Linked DNA regions of Lytechinus pictus. The protein of the gene in region 1 interacts with the protein of each later gene in a pairwise test. Links are inferred from orthologs where the notes say so. Each region holds a gene or a part of one and is shown in the gene's direction. Other genes may lie near its edges. The genes, in order: ubiquitin-conjugating enzyme E2 W-like and E3 ubiquitin-protein ligase MARCHF5-like.

Region 1 (8,218 bases):
CCAATTTCCCTATTAAAACCAATTGAATCCAATTGGAGGCAACTGGTTTCAATTGGTTCCAATTGAAACCAATTGGAGGCAACTGGTTTCAACTGGAACCAGTTGAAACCAATTGGTTTCCAACTGGATCCAATTGGAACTTCCAGTTGGAATGAACTTAATTAGTTACAAATTAATTAGCATTTGCACTAACTATTGCTCATGCCAACACAGAAGCAGTGTTTTTATGTCTATTAATACCAATGTAAAGGGCATTGATAAAATACAGACTTTCATATGTATATATTTATATGGAAGATCTTCAAATATATGTATTTTTATTTGATGTAATTTGGTAACAGTTAGTGGTGTACTAATTATCCTTTAATCTGTTTTAATTATAATCTATAACATTTATGAACATGGTTTTCACTGCTAAGTATTCTAAATACTTATCTTTAAAAAGTGTGGTACTTGAAATTGAAAAGAATTAAATAGATACATTGTTAATGATGATGAATCTCATAAAACATTAATCTGTGCACACTGGCAGATAATATGCAAATTAACTGGTTTCAATTGGATCCAGTTGGGTAACTGGAAAATTTCCAATTGGAAACCAATTGGAAATAATTTCCAGTTACCCAACTGGTTCCAATTTTATTTCCAGTTACCCAACTGGTTCCATGCAATTAGAATTCATTTCCAGTTACCCATCTTTCCAGTTAGAAGTCATCTCCAGTTACCCAATTGGTACCAGTTAGGATTTCCAGTTACACAACTGCATGGTTCAAGTTGGAAATCATTTCCAGTTGGAAGTCATTTCCAGTTACCCAACTGGTTCCAGTTAGGATTTACAGTTGCCCAACTGGTTCCAGTTGGGATTTCCAGTTAGAAATCATTTCCAGTTGGAAGTCATGTCCAGTTACCCAACTGGTTCCAGTTAGGATTTCCAGTTGCCCAACTGGTTCCAGTTGGGATTTCCAGTTAGAAATCATTTCCAGTTGGAAGTCATTTCCAGTTACCCAACTGGTTCCAGTTAGGATTTCCAGTTGCCCAACTGGTTCCAGTTGGGATTTCCAGTTAGAAATCATTTCCAGTTGGAAGTCATTTCCAGTTACCCAACTGGTTCCAGTTAGGATTTCCAGTTGCCCAACTGGTTCCAGTTGGGATTTCCAGTTAGAAATCATTTCCAGTTGGAAGTCATTTCCAGTTACCCAACTGGTTCCAGTTAGGATTTCCAGTTGCCCAGCTGGTTCCAGTTGCATGGGATTTCCAGTTAGAAATCATTTCCAGTTGGAAGTCATTTCCAGTTACCCAACTGGTTCCAGTTAGGATTTCCAGTTGCCCAACTGGTTCCAGTTGGGATTTCCAGTATAACTCAACTGGTTCCAGTTAGAAATCATTTCCAATTGGAAGTCATTTCCAGTTACCCAACTGGTTCCAGTTAGGATTTCCAGTTGCCCAACTGGTTTCAATTGGTTTCAACTGGAAATTGTTAAATTCCAGTTGAAACCAATTGAAACCAGTTGAAACCAATTGAAACCAGTTGGAAATCCAACTGGTTTCAATTGGATTTTGGTCCTGGGAAGTACGCAACTGACGGTCAGGCACGGTGGCATCCTGACAAGAAAACCGTGTCAGCTGAAAGTTGGATTAGAGGCCGTCACAATATATATATATATTTCTACATGTATACATTTGTCATCTGTTCCAATCAGGGCACCCAAAACTAAATGTTCGGTGAGAGGACAGCCCCCCCCCCTCTCGCACCGAAGTTATTGCACTGTCCTCTGAGGAATTAGAAGGGGGGCGCGGCATGCAGCGCAGGAGAACATGGAGAATGAAAAGTTAAAGGAGAATGAAACCCTTGAAACCAGCTGAATCCATATCAAAGAGAAAAATCAAAGAAACATATTGTTGAAAGTTTGAGGAAGATTGAATGAATAATAAGAAAGTTATGAGCATTCGAATATTGAGATCACTGGTGCCATGTAGATCCTCCCAACGGCAATGCGACCAAGATCTGTGATATCACACACGTACAACTCCCTCATTACTTTAGTACTTATTTCACTTATATTCTCACTTTTATAGAGTCTATCACAAGGTGAGGTGTTCTCTCTATGAGATGACAAGTACAGAGGTTTCACAACATTATATCATTGATGAATCGTTTGTCATATGATTAGAATGAGCAAAAAGAGATGTTTTGGGGTATATTTTCAGTGTCCAAGTGGGAGAGTTGTACGTCACGGTGTGTGACATCACAGATCTTGGTCGCATTGCCAATGGGAGGATCTCCATAGCATTAGTGATCTCGACATTCAAATGCTCATAACTCTTTTATTGCTAGTCCTATTTTTCTCAAAGTTTTGTTGATCTTATTCTTTGATTTTTCTGCTTTCACAAAAGCTAACTTGCTCCAAGAGTTTCATTCTCCTTTAAGAAAATATGCCAATTGAGCCCTGAGAGGGCGCTTTGCAAATTACAATGAGGAAAGGCGAAATATGGCGACACAGGTAAGCTAAATGAGGGTTATTTACATGATTTATAACTGATATCGATGAGCTTTCGTAGATCTATTGGCTTAGCAATGGCCATCAAAGGGTTGGATACCCGTGTAGCTCTTAGAAACAGACCATTATTAATGCGACATGTTGGTCGTATTTCGATAATTTTGTCTCGTTCTCTGGTCGAGACCAAAACTGGCAGCTGTTTGTGCGACTGTCAACACCCAACGGATTGCTCCTTCTGTCTTTGCCCTGAGCTGCCGGGTGTGAGTTTGTGTGCTTCGTTCGTGTGACTGTCTTTCTCCCACCGCAGCGCGGAGCGGGAACTCGCTCAATTTTCGCCAAAGGCCCAACTGCATCACCAATCAAAGACAGTGCAGTATCAGGGCTGCCAACTTTTGAGAAGAGCTTGGAGTGAGACATTGCGAGGAAGCGATCGAGGGCACGGAGCGCCCGAGGGGGGATGGTGTGGTCTGTGGAAGGGGGTGTGCCCCCTTCCACGGTAGGGAGCTTTTAATTACAATTTTGCAATTTAAATGGTGTTGCAATCTGGCACATACTTTTAACTCTGAGTCCATAAAAAGGCATAAATACCGTAAGGGCACTAGTATTCAACCCGTTTGGAGAGTTTCCTCAAAGTCAAATATATAGAAATATAGAATTTATCTTAATTTCAGACCCGTCTTAACTCTTATTTCCGAGAGCAAATGCTGGTTATTCTTTTTCAGTTATTTTTTTCTTCAACCCATCGACTGTGCACGGGCGATCGAATTATACGGCGATGGTTTTTGCCACTACTAGTATTCAATCCGTCGGCACTAGTATTCAACCTAGCGCGGAAAGATGACCCTGTCTCTCAATCTGCCCTTGTCCCATCTGACTATGGACTAGACCATTTGAGATGAGACCAAACGGAATTAATCAAAGCCAGAGACTTACATAGATCTAGATCTAATTTAGCAATCTAAACCATTTTGAGATTCGCTATCTATCATCACTAGGTTGAATACTAGTGCAATTCAATGCAAAAGGTCATCGCCACATGATTCGATCCTCCGCGCATATAGTCGACAGATTGATAAAGAAAATACCGACAACAGATTACCCTGGAAATAACAAAGGTATGAAAATAAGATAAATTCCCTATTTCTAAATATTTGGGGGAATTTGTCCAAATCTTTGAATTATGCTGGGTTGAATACTAGTGCCCATACGGTATATACTTAAGTTAAGGCAGGATTCAAATAGGTTAATTGGCTTTTTTAATGAAGTTCACTGACCTTGAAAAAAATTCCACATTTTTAAGTTTCATTATTCCAAATCAACTGTCTATAAGCTTAGCAGTGAAACCTCAACCTGTGATTATCTGCTGCTCCCTTAAGCAATTTTTTATCGGATAATGTACACACTTGCACGTTGCACTTCACCAGTACGACAATACACCAGACGGTGGACTACTGTTTCCAGAAGAAGAAGAAAGAATGAAGGAAAGAAATAAAGAATTAAGGAAGCAAGCAAGCAATATAAAAAAAAGAATCGGTAAAAGAATAGATGAAAGAAAAAAAAAAAGAAAGACCAAAAGACAAAAAAAGGAAGGAATGAAGGAAAGAAAGAAAAGGTAAAAGGATAGACGGAACGAAGGGGAAAAACAAAGAAAGAACAAAAGACAGAAAGGAAGGAATGAATGAAAGAAAGAGAGAAAAGGCTGAAAGAAGTAAGAAATAAAAAACAAGAAAGGGTAAAGAAAGGATGGATGAAAGGAAGAAACAAAGAATGAAGCAAAGAAAGGGTAAAAAGAAGAAAGAAAGAAGAGATAAATATAGGATGGATGGATTCAAGAATTACAGAAAGAAAGAAATCAAAAAAGAAAGAAAAAGAAATAGAGAAAAATATTTGTTCAAAGGACAGAAAGAACGAAAGACAAAAAAAGGGAAAATTAAAAAAGAAAGACAGTAACAAAGAAATGAAAGAAGAAAGGGAAGAAACAAAGTATGATTGAAAAGAAAGAAAAAAAACAGAGGAAGAAAGCTAAAACTATCATCATAAAATAATAAATTATCAGTTTCTTTTTGGCTCAATTAAAATAAAGCTACAAAAGAAACCAAGTGTATCGCCATGACATGGCATTGCATTGACACTCAATCGCTCGTTGTGCCTCGCACGAAACCCCGCTTCATAGTAAATTTCGACGTCACCAGCTCTCACACGCGGGATACAGTAAGCCAATCGCATTTGCATTGATGGTTTAGCTTTGCGCTTGTGTGGTTAAAAACTTTGAAACTTATGCCTGGCCGGGTTATAATGTTATTGAATATCCGATATTGGCTAATAAACTTTTTTTCTCTCTATTTTCGGGGTTCAGCTTGAGAATTCCTATGATCAGCGTGAGAATCGGGTGAATTGTGTGAGACTCACGCAGATTGCGTGAGAGTTGGCAGCCCTGCAGTATGATGGGGGGGGGGGCCTAAACTAAGATATATGCACTTTGTTTACAAATGATGAAAACTATGTCTATACTATGCCAATTTTAATATTTGAACAAATTATTTTTCACTAATTTGGGGTAAATATTCCAAATCCGACCAAAGCATGAATGAAAGATCCTTACCCACATGACCCAAGATTAGAACAAGATTGAAGAAGATCTAATGTTAGATCTAGACTAGGCCTAGACAAAGAAAATATCACAAAATATGAAAATCCTGATGTGTTTTCCAAACACCTCTTGATTTCACCGCCTGATGTAGAAGGAAAAGAAATGGTATTTCCAGTGTCATATACATGTAGGTTCATGTTATTTTAGGAAAGTGAAAATAACTTCAAACTCCAAAGTCAAAGACAGTAACTTACTAAGGCGCTGGTCAGAAAATTGGGATTGTCCCAGCTTACAGGGACTGTCTCAGTAATAAAGGACAAGTCCACCCCTACAAAATGTTGATTTGAATAAAAAGAGAAAAATCCAACAAGCACAACACTGAAAATTTCATCAAAATCGAATGTAAAATAAGAAAGTTAAGACATTTTTTATTTTCGTTTAATTTCACAAAACAGTTATATGCACATCCTAGTTGGTATGCAAATGAGGGGACTGATGACATGACTCACTATTTCTTTTGGATTTCATTGTATGAAATATTCAAATGTTATTGTCCTGTGAAACAAAGTTTTATTTCACTCTGAAGTCTGAACATGGTGGAATTACCATTGTTTAACATTTTATGGATCAGTCAAGTTGGTCCTTATTGTCAGATCTGCAAAAATTGAAATATTGTTTAATTAAAATAATAAAAAAACAAAAGAAAAAGTGAGTGAGGAACATCATCAATTCTCTCATTTGCATGTGACTAAATTATGCATACAATTATTTTGTGAAAAATAAGCGAAACTTTACTTTAAAATGTCATAACTTTCTTATTTTACATCCGATTTTGATGAAATCTCCAGCATTATGCTTGTCTGATTTTTCTCTACAAGAAATCTATGAAAGTTCATTCACCTGTCAAGTGCCGACATCAATTGAGCTGAGTGAATGTGAATGCTAGTCACTAGAGAGTTTTAGGAGCAGTGAACGTGAACGACGTAGCAGTCATCTGATCGTTCGAGTCAACATCGTCGTCTGCCCTTGTTCACTACAGATGCGAATACTTTAGATTTCACTCGACTTGTACGTGTACGTACGTCCACATGAAACAGCGCGATAACCAGCGGGTCATGACACGCTGCCCGACCCGGAAGATCTTGGGCACCATCGCCTGGCGACCCGGTCGGGTGATGCGAATGTGCAACGTGTGCACATGTGCCCTTTCACTTGCTTTGATTCCTTTTTACGCGAGTTAGGATATATATCGATGTATATTTTGGAGATCAGATTGCAATTTCAAATATGATAAACATAATGCATCGTACAACTTACATTAATTTTGTGAAAAGTCACTGAAAACTGTGTTTTAAAAGGGAAAGGTTGATCTTCATGCTGGGCTTGAATGGTTAAAATGACGTCACTCACGTGCACGTCGTCTATGATTTAGGAGAACCGCAAAATGGATGTGGCGAGGTTCTCGATTTTGATAGTGGATGTGTGTGAGGACCTAAGGCATATGGCAGGCCAAAAAATGACGTCATCTCGTACCAGTCCTCTATGTCGACGTACCTTTCTAAAAGTGCTCAATGTGAACATATCAGGTTTCATAAGATTATTGGAAGACAGCAAGTCGTGAAAAAATAGATGGTGAACTGTTGGGAATTGAGGTCACTGAATCCATTTTTAGCACTCTCAATCCCCGTAATTGCATTCTATGTCCCGCAGGGGTAAGTGAAAAAAAACTCCCCATTGGCATATAAACATGGACAATCTCAATTTTTCAAGACATGAATTGTTCTGGTTTATGAGGATCTCAATTTTTGGATCAGCGCCTCTACTGAAAGAGTTGCTAGTTTTCTATGCATTTAGTGATTTATTGCAGCCTCTGTAAAAGCAAATTGAATAGGAATCTTTCGTCACTCTGCAGTCACAGTTCCACACACAGAGTGCGCATTTTGCCATTGAAATTGCATGCGTGGTAAGTGGTGCGTAGCTTCAGGACCCCTTACCATACAAGGCCAAGAACGGACACTTTGGCGATTTTTTTTAAACACTCCATTCGCTCGTGGGATGGGCGCGCAGGCCCAACAGCATTGAGCAAGTAAACCTTCGCACATTGGCATGCAATGTATTGAAAATGATAGGGGTGTTTGGCCTTTGGGAGAGGGCACAAGTGCGGCGCGTGTGGATAAGTCCACCTCTAAGATATTCATCTCTAATTTTAGATTTAAAGAAATTGAAGAGAAAAAAAATTAATATAAAAATCGTCTATTCTCTCCCCCCTCTACCATTTCTCTCATATGTTTTCAGGGTTCCCAGCCAATCAGGGAAATCAGGGAAGATTATTTAACTTTTTCCAGTCAGGGAAAAAATCAGGGAATTCGATAAAAAATACCTCAAATCAGGGGACAATGCCTGAAATCAAGGAAAAATCTGAATTTTTATCAGCCCAAAAGTCGAAAGCACGGTAGTCAGTCAGACTTTGTTATATTTTGTTGCATATCAAAACAACATCAATTGAATGACTGGTTATGGTATACTAATTAGTTTTACATGATTGTTTTTATACTAAAAATACGTGTCATTCACTGCAACAAGTTGCGAAACTGGGATTGGGTTTAAATAATTATCAGGGAATTTTAAGACTTCGTTGGGGAAAAATCAGGGTATTTTTTTTTGAAAAGCTGGAACCCTGTGTTTTTTACACAACCCAAAATGGCTATTTATTCAGCGCTGTTGGGCAATCTTCCCGAGCATTTTAATACAGACTGTCCAGTCTTACCCTTGCAGTGTCTTTGCTCCAATTAAGATTTTGAGAGTGGAGTCTCAACGGGCAACACAATAATGGGCCAAATTATGTATTTGGGAACCTGTAACACAGTGAATGGCAGGAATGGAGGTGAAAGTATTGCTTTATATTTATAAGCTGTAGACCTTATGACTTTGAGTTTGAAGTGAATTTTGGCTTTCAAGATCAAGGTTCCCAATTAAATGGCCATTAAAGATTTTAAGCTCTTCACATAAAGTATCAAATTTGCGAAACTGTAAAGTATAGGCTAGGCCCCAACACTACCAGGGCCAGGCAAGGCCTAAAGCCCAAAGGTGGTGAAGTGCCCAAATATTGGATTGGCCAAAAGAAAAATAC
Region 2 (8,218 bases), on another chromosome or scaffold:
CAGCTAGTCCCTCTCCCCCTTTAAAAAATACATTATTAATATTATGCAAGGGAGCGTAGTGACAGAGCGAAAAAAATCACAGTCTCAAAATGCTTGAGAATTGTTTATATATAACATACATCAGGGCCTGATGGGTGTTATATATGTAAATGAGGGCATTTAACGATAAGGGGGGGGGGGTACTTAGGACTGGTTATCAGGAAATGGATTTGTTTAGAGACTTTGAACGTACTAGTATAACAGTATACGACAGCTAGAGGCATAGGCCCGGGGGGGGGGCACTCAGTATATAATGCATAGTGGGTATGTGCCTCGGAGGGGACCCCCATTTTTACACTCAAATTTCCGTTCCAAGGCATAGCATTTTAGTCTTATTGAGGAAAAGAACACAGAAAGCCGCTCCAAAGCATAGCATTTTCTCCTTATAGAGAAAAAAGAAGAAAGAAATCCGCTCCAAAGCGCTCCAAAGCGCTCCAAAGCTTCGCATATTTTTGTTACGCCGTTCCGGTCGTATTGATCTGCTACAATGAGCTGCAATTTTGGTGAAAAGCGGCCGCAGAGCTCTGTCCGACCATCGCCTCTGCGCGAGCGCACCCGTCGGAGGCCGCGCTAGCTGCATCATGCACGCATATCATGCCCGTTCCATAGGGATGCATACGCACTCACGTACACGCTGGCGATCCGTTCCAAGGATCCCCCTTTTGACAAACATTTGTAGTTCCGAAGCCTGTTCCGAGGACCCTCCTTTTTACAACAAGCCCGCTCCAAGGCCCCCGTTTTTTGTCTCGCCCGCGGCACACCCCTACCTCTTTTTTGGTCGAGTGCCCCCCCCCCCCCCGGGGCATAGGCGGATCCAGGGGGCCGGGGTCGAGGCCCCCCCCCCCCCCATATTGGCGTAGCAAAAATAAGAGGAAAAAAGGCAAAAGAGAGGAGAAAAAAAGTAGAGGAAAAAAAAAGGAGGAAGACGAGTGAATGAAATAAGGAGAAGACTTGGGGGAAAAAATGTATGTCACTATATCAAATTTTCGCTCGCGCTTCGCGCTCGCATTGCATGATCGATGAAATACATATCTTGCTCAATATTGAGCTGAAAATATCAAGTTTTGAAGTCAATATACAAAACATAAATCAGTTTGGACGTCGATCATTCATTATTTCGGTTGATTTACAAATTGTTTTTCAAAATTAGTGCTCTGCAAAATGTCTGTTTTATTGTCTGGGCATCAACATTTTCAGCTCGCGCTGCGCGCTCGCATTAGTTGATTTGTCAAGTACCTATATTCTCTTCGTGTATTCCATAAAGTTCTCAAAATATCCTTTTTCAGGTTTGATTGTCAAAACCTATGCAGCTAGCGCTGCGCGTTCGCATTTTCATTGGTGAGTATAATGTATACCCCTGTAGTAATTCTATAACAAACTATACTTAAAATCCATGTTTCATGACAGTAAATTTTTATCAACGATTTCATGATAAAAATGCGTTAAGAATGCCCAGAATCTTAAACACGCGCGTGCATGCTTTAAGGGATGGTCCAGGCTGGAAGCCTCAATAAAATAGAGTAAAATTCACAAAGTAATATAATAAAATACAAAAGAAATAGTGAGTGGATGACGTCATCAGTCTCCTCATTTGCATACCGACCAGGATGTGCGGCGTATAACTGTTTTGTGAAAACAGCAAAACTTTAAAATGTCATAACTTTCTTATTTTACATCCGATTTTGATGAAATTTTCAGTGTTATGCTTAATGTGTTTTTTTCTCTTATTATTCAAATCAACTTTTTGATAGGGTGAACTTGTCCTTTAAACCTAGCATATGGAGCACTTTATGAACTTGCAAATAAAAGTACATCTTCTACATCGTTAAATTACTGAATGGGATACTCAACATATATAGGCTGCAAAAAAATACAACCCAATCATCACTGCCCTGCATTTTGTAATGGATCCCCCCCTTTTTTTTTTGCTTGTCAAATTTCACCACCCCTGTAAAAAAAAATCCTTCCCAGGACCCTGCAGCCAAATGTGATTGAAGTATCAATATTTGGAGAACAAGATCAACCAAATGTAGGCCTATTCTCAACTTTCAAAGCATGAATAACTGTTTTGTGAAATTAAGCAAAACTTGAAAATGTCGTAACTTTCTTATTTTACATCCGTTTTTGCTGAAATGTTTAGTGTTATGCTTGGTTGGATTTTTCTCTTATTATTTAAATCAACTTTTTGTAGGGGTGGACTTGTCCTCTATTAATCAATTAATTTACATTTTAACACCTCCTCCCCTTATAGGCCTATTTCAGAAAAACTACAACTTATAATAGGCTTATTTAAATTCCGACTAGATTTAGAGGCGTCGCACAGTGGGCCAGAATGAGTTGAAAGTGCGCCAAAATTATATTCCGTGTTATATTTTTACTTTAACATGTTGATTGAGGGTAATTTTGGGCGTAGAATCGACTGAACATAATTTAAAGCCGATATGACGTCACTTTGATACCAAATTTTGATTGGCTACTTAAAATCTATCTGCGAAAAGACAAATTACGCTAAACAATGTGCAGTATATAATCTTTGTGTTATGTGTTACTTTAAGATTGACCAGAGTGAGCGGTGGTTTATGCTTCTCATATGCCTAAAAAGTGCGTAAGAGATTCTGAAAATAATTTGATGGCATCAAAATGATCATTAGATAAAAAAATACTTAAAAATCTGAAAAATATTAACCGTGCTTTATCAAGCGGCGTAGACTTGGGTAAAACGCAGAGTATATAACACCACGAATGAATAACTATGAGGAGGGTTTTGGGCTGAAATTATTCTACAAGTAACTTTTATCTCTGGAAGAGGGGCGGGTAGCCCTAATTTGCGTTATCAACCTTTATTTTGTTTGCATTAAGCCTGGAATTCATGTCATTTTCAAGGAATGGAAGGGGAATCGTCCTCGCCGTGCAAAAATGAAAGGAAATGTATACACCCCACACGGTGCGCAGCGATGACTGCGCGGTATGAAAATGACCGTTTTTGAACAGGTTTTGGGGGTGTTGTGTCAAGTAAAATCGGCTGTAACATGAAAACGGGCAAAAACGGGCAGCTAAATTTGGTATCATCTTAAAGCTTAGACATCTAGCAAAATGATGATGATAGAATTTAAACGGAAATCCACGGAAATCTAAACTTTTCTAATGTAAATAAAAAAAACATGGATTATCAGCCTTTTACAAGGAATAATTATCCTATAAACCTTCTGAAATGTGTCATTTATCTAATTTAAACCCTTTCACACGAAAAAAGAATATATCAGGATTATGTGGGTGCCATTTCAGATTCCTACATGAAAAACCTCCTGTGAAATGGCTTGTTTTTCAACTAAGTAGTCATATACGCGGCATTTCGCAAAATGTCACATTTTAAGATTTGAGGTAGGAAATTAACAACCTTTATGCAAATTCCCGAATGAAATATTTTGCTGAAGTTAAAGCTTATTGCGGCATACAATATTGTTCTACCAAGAATGTATTTCTATTTATTTTCTAGTTATTTTCTAATCTACTTGGATTTGCTCTTCTCAGATTCAATGCTTATAACGCAATTAAAAACAGTTTTCAGTTCAGGAGCATATTCCAGTGTGACACTTGATCAATTTGATGTTTTATTATGAGTTAGAGAGATTTATAGATTTTTTACTACGTTTCCGCTCCGTGCTGACCGGTCAGTGATTGCATCTTTGAAAGGGCAGGGCAAGCGTATTTGGTGAAGATTTGTTTATATGCCATTTTGACAAGAGTTACGACAAACTTTTGTATATACTATAATTATCTTTTTCATATTAGAAAGATGCACAATAAAAATATTTCATATATGTATACATCATATTGGTAATAATATCATTATGTGAGAAGTGAGATTTTATAGATAGAGTCAATGGCGACAATAGTCAAATATGACTAATCGCCACCCAAACCAACATAAGAAGAAGACAAAAGCTCGCTACTTTCACCTCATAGGTACTAGGTCGCGCGTTATTGGTCGCCAGAGCTCGAGCAGTGTATAAAGGTACACTCCACAACTACAAGTGCAGGAGCACCGCCGCCGACCTCCACCTTGCCTTCCGATTATTAATATTCTAAATGGTTGATTGTAGCCCTGCCCTGTAACACGAAAAGTTGTAAGTTCTCTATAAACATTTTCGAGTCGTTGTCTCGTTGTGGTGTGCGTCATTTTTGTTAGGCTTTAAAGCCAAGCCCAAGCCAAGGCAATTATTAGCAATCGAATTAGACGGCATTGAGTGTAGGCACATTTCCTTAATCGGCGCGTGCGATTCTCATGCACACATGTCGCATTAGGCGGATCACAATTTCGTGATTCGGTTTAGATCTAACGTTAGATACTGCACGGAGCGAAATCGCCGGTCATCTCTTTCAGTTTCTCTCTTATTTATAAATGTTCTACTTATTTAGCGATTGTGCAAGGGTCCACACCAACTGACCAAATTTTTACCCCATTAAAAAAAAAATTGTGGCAGTTTTAAAGTGAGTTTTCATTTAATTTATTGCATGGTTTGTTGAAATTGTTGTGTGACGAAATAGATTTTCTAACTTAGTAGGCCCTAATTAGAACGGCCTTTTCCTGAAATAAGTCACCTCTCTTCTTGTGTGTGTCAGTGTGTGTGCGCTCGTTGTGTACAAAGTCAATGGGAGATGAAAGAAGTCACTGCCATTGACGAAATGAACGGCAATGAATGGAGTGGTGACTTAAACCAGGATAATGCCTTGGCTTTAACTAGTTAGAAATAAGTTGGTCTTGGATGGTCCGGTGTCAGTAACCATTCTGGACTCTGGAGATGCATTGACATTCATGACATTGTCAATGATTGAGACAAGTCTAAAAATAATTTGCTAACTTGTTCAGTAGAGGCGCACGGCCAATATGGGAGACTCTCCAATATGGGAGACAATCTCCCATATTAGAGACTTGCTTTGCAAAAGAACAAAAGAAACACCAACAAAAGCATAATTTTTTCCACCCAAAATTTTGTCTCGCTGAGGTCAGAAACCCATTTGTTTTGTGTGTGGATGACAACAAAAATCCTTATCAAAACAAAAGTAGACGGTGAATTTTTAAAATAGACGGTGAAAAGGGGTAATTTTTCATGAGGAATCTGCTTATCACATTTTTATTTGCCGCCAAGGTAATCCTTTTGCAGCAAATGTGAACAAAGGAAATTGGTCTCCTAAACTGGAGACTGTCTCTGAAATTGGATACCCAAATTCTTCACAAAAGTCTCTGATATTGGAGATAATCTCTCTCATGGGAGACAGTCTCCCATATTGGCTGTGCGCCTGTACTGCTTGTTGTGGTTCAAAGAGTACTCGTGCAAAATAAAGAAAGGGATGCCAAACAATTTTAAAGATAAGAATGCCACATCATTTAGTAGATGTAGATCTACATCTACAATGCAAGCAAAAGGAAGTAGGAGGGAAGAATAAATGAAGAACAAAACGAGGAGGAGGAGGAGGAGAAGAAGGGTGAAGAAGAAGAAGGGAGAAGAGGAAGAAGGGTGAAAAAGAAAAAGGGAGAAGAAGAAAAAAAGGACATGAAGGAAAACAAGGAAGAAGAGAAAGAAGAAGAGGAAGAGAGAAGAAGGGGGGTGTCTTTCTATGGTGCTTTTGAGGAAGATCAATAATACCCTTTTTACACAGGATTTTCTTAACCCCGGACTATCGCTAACCCCGTACTATCCTTAACCCCGTACTATTTTTTTTTCCTTTTCACACATGCCAAATTGTTATCGCTAACCCCGGATAAGGAATGCTTGCTTTTCACACACGAAACTCGCTAACCCCGGACTAGTGGTTTTTGTCGATCATTCGTAGTACAAGTACTTCACTCGTACCTTTTTACACACGCTAAAATTTCCTTAACCCCGTAATATAGGTGGGGCTAAATTGCCATTTAGCCCCACCTATAGTACGGGGTTAAGCTTAGCCCACTTTCGTTTTACACTAGCGATCTTAACCCCGTACTATCGCTCTTAGCACCGCAATTGCTGGGATAACCCTGCTTTTTTGCAGGGCCAAATAATCCCGTACTAAAGGTGGGGTTAGCCCACTTTGCAAAAATGCTGTGTAAAAAGAAAGTGGGCTAAGCTTAACCCCGTACTATAGGTGGGGCTAAATGGCAATTTAGCCCCACCTATAGTACGGGGTTAAGGAAATTTTAGCGTGTGTAAAAAGGGTATAAGAACACTCAATGAGTTAATGCAACTGTTGTAACTTTGCCATTATGGCAACTACCATGGAAACCTTGATTCTGATTGGCTGCTGATCCCTGTTACAACAATTGCAAGTCTTTTATGAAACGGGTCCCAGAAGCACACTCAATGAGTTAATGCAATGAGCCAGATACTTTGTCAGTGCATAAAATATCCTTATATTTGGCACACTTGAACCCCCCCCCCCTCACTCAACTTACAAGTTACCATAAAAATAGCACTTGGTCACCTATTTTCAATTTTTTTTAAAAACAAAAGTATTATTCAGACCAGGTGATTCAGGCTATTGGACAATTTCTTTAAACTAATTTCTCTTTAACCATTCAATTGAAACACAGAATGAATACTTATAAATTGGGCAGGGGGCATGTCTGTGCACCTAACTATTTAATTTAAGATTTAACATGAATTTCTTTTTATTTCATAAAAAAATTCAGTTGATAATGTTTTTTATATTTTCATGAGTAAGTGTGCCAAAAAGCTATTAAAAATTGGAAAGAAATGTATGATTTTCTTGGAAAAAAACCTTGGCCAGTCATTTTCAGATTGAACCAAAAAATGTTGGTTGCCTCCGACGAAGATTCTGCTAGGATCGAAAGCTTAGGCCCCTTTTTGACTTTCCAAAAAATGTTTCACGCACCCATTCACTTTACACACGATTCAGGCATTTTGATGATAAAGGCTGCATTTTGAGGCTGTCACATGAAATGCCTGAAATTCAAAATTTCTCCACCACTTTGTGTCAGATTTTTGGTCTTGCAGGTGTAAAGTTTGTGGTTGTTGTGTATCTTCTTTTATTAGAATCACGCAGATATGTGCACAGACAATGGGGACTGCAAAGACTTGGGGCACCTTACCATATATGTAGTATGTACTTATAATATATAGCCAAGTTATTAATTAAACTATTAACAGTATTACAATTGCATACATGCGCTATATACACAATTTTTCAGATGGTCTAAAACTTTTGAAAATGATGATATGCAAATCCCATCAAAGACTTGATTGTACATAGACACCAAGGACCTTCATTGGCTGGACATTCTTATGAACCGAATCATTCATAAAAGAAAAAAAAAGAAGATGTGTAGAAGGGTAGATACAGAGATAGATATAAAATGGCTTATTGAAATCTCCGCCAAAAGCTGAATAGTGATCAATTTTACAAACATGCAAGTTACATATAAAGTTTTCATACAAAGTATGGTAACAGTTTCTAAATGATACACAAACCTATTGTAGAAATTGTAATTGTATGATCTTAGAAAATATAGTGTCGGTGGAGAAAAAGAAGAATGTAGTATTAGGTGAGTGAAAATAAAGTCATGAAGGTGTAAGGAAGTAAATGGAGAGGATAGAAAAAGGAGAAGAGAAAAGGAGGAAAAAATAGGAAGAAGAAAAGGAAGAGAAAAGAAGAGATCATGATCATCAAATCTTGACATGCACACACTATATCCTCTCACTTAGAGCTGGTAGCAGGTAAAATTCAATGAGATTTAAAAACAAAAACATTAAATATTTACATAGTAAAATATGCAATGATGTAATTGGTCTGTGGAGCCGTCAACATACAAAGTAAAACAAAATAAGATTGATTACCTGTTAAAAGATCAACAAATATGGAAGAGAGCTACATTGGAAATGTTTAGTTTTGCATTATATTGTTGATATTTCCATTGTGATCGTAAAACATAATTACATTGCTGTCTGAGAGGTAAACTATTTGTAAATTGTGGATGCTTGGCAAGAGAACTGGCAAAGTCAATACATTTCTGTTTTCGTCTTGCCTCTAAAGGCGACCGCACACCTTACGATTGGTCTGCGACTCAATTTTGGAATAAAACGTAGTAGAATTTGATGCTAATATTGAGACTTGGAATATCTTACTGTGTTATGTTCCAAATCATTGTACAAATACCTATGTTCAAATCTGTGACTATGCT

What was found.
Region 2: the proteins of ubiquitin-conjugating enzyme E2 W-like (region 1) and E3 ubiquitin-protein ligase MARCHF5-like interact in binary tests that used the Homo sapiens proteins (3 or more experiments, as listed by UniProt). The link is inferred for Lytechinus pictus from reciprocal best matches to the Homo sapiens genes UBE2W and MARCHF5.

Annotation. Positions count from the first base shown.
Region 1 is NC_087261.1:15,045,402-15,053,619, forward strand, and holds the start of ubiquitin-conjugating enzyme E2 W-like, read left to right. Parts: upstream 1-2,468; 5' UTR 2,469-2,489; coding exon 2,490-2,501; intron 2,502-8,218. UniProt on the Homo sapiens protein: Accepts ubiquitin from the E1 complex and catalyzes its covalent attachment to other proteins.
Region 2 is NC_087256.1:23,778,337-23,786,554, forward strand, and holds the start of E3 ubiquitin-protein ligase MARCHF5-like, read left to right. Parts: upstream 1-3,951; 5' UTR 3,952-4,166; intron 4,167-8,218. UniProt on the Homo sapiens protein: Mitochondrial E3 ubiquitin-protein ligase that plays a crucial role in the control of mitochondrial morphology by acting as a positive regulator of mitochondrial fission and as an important regulator of immune response.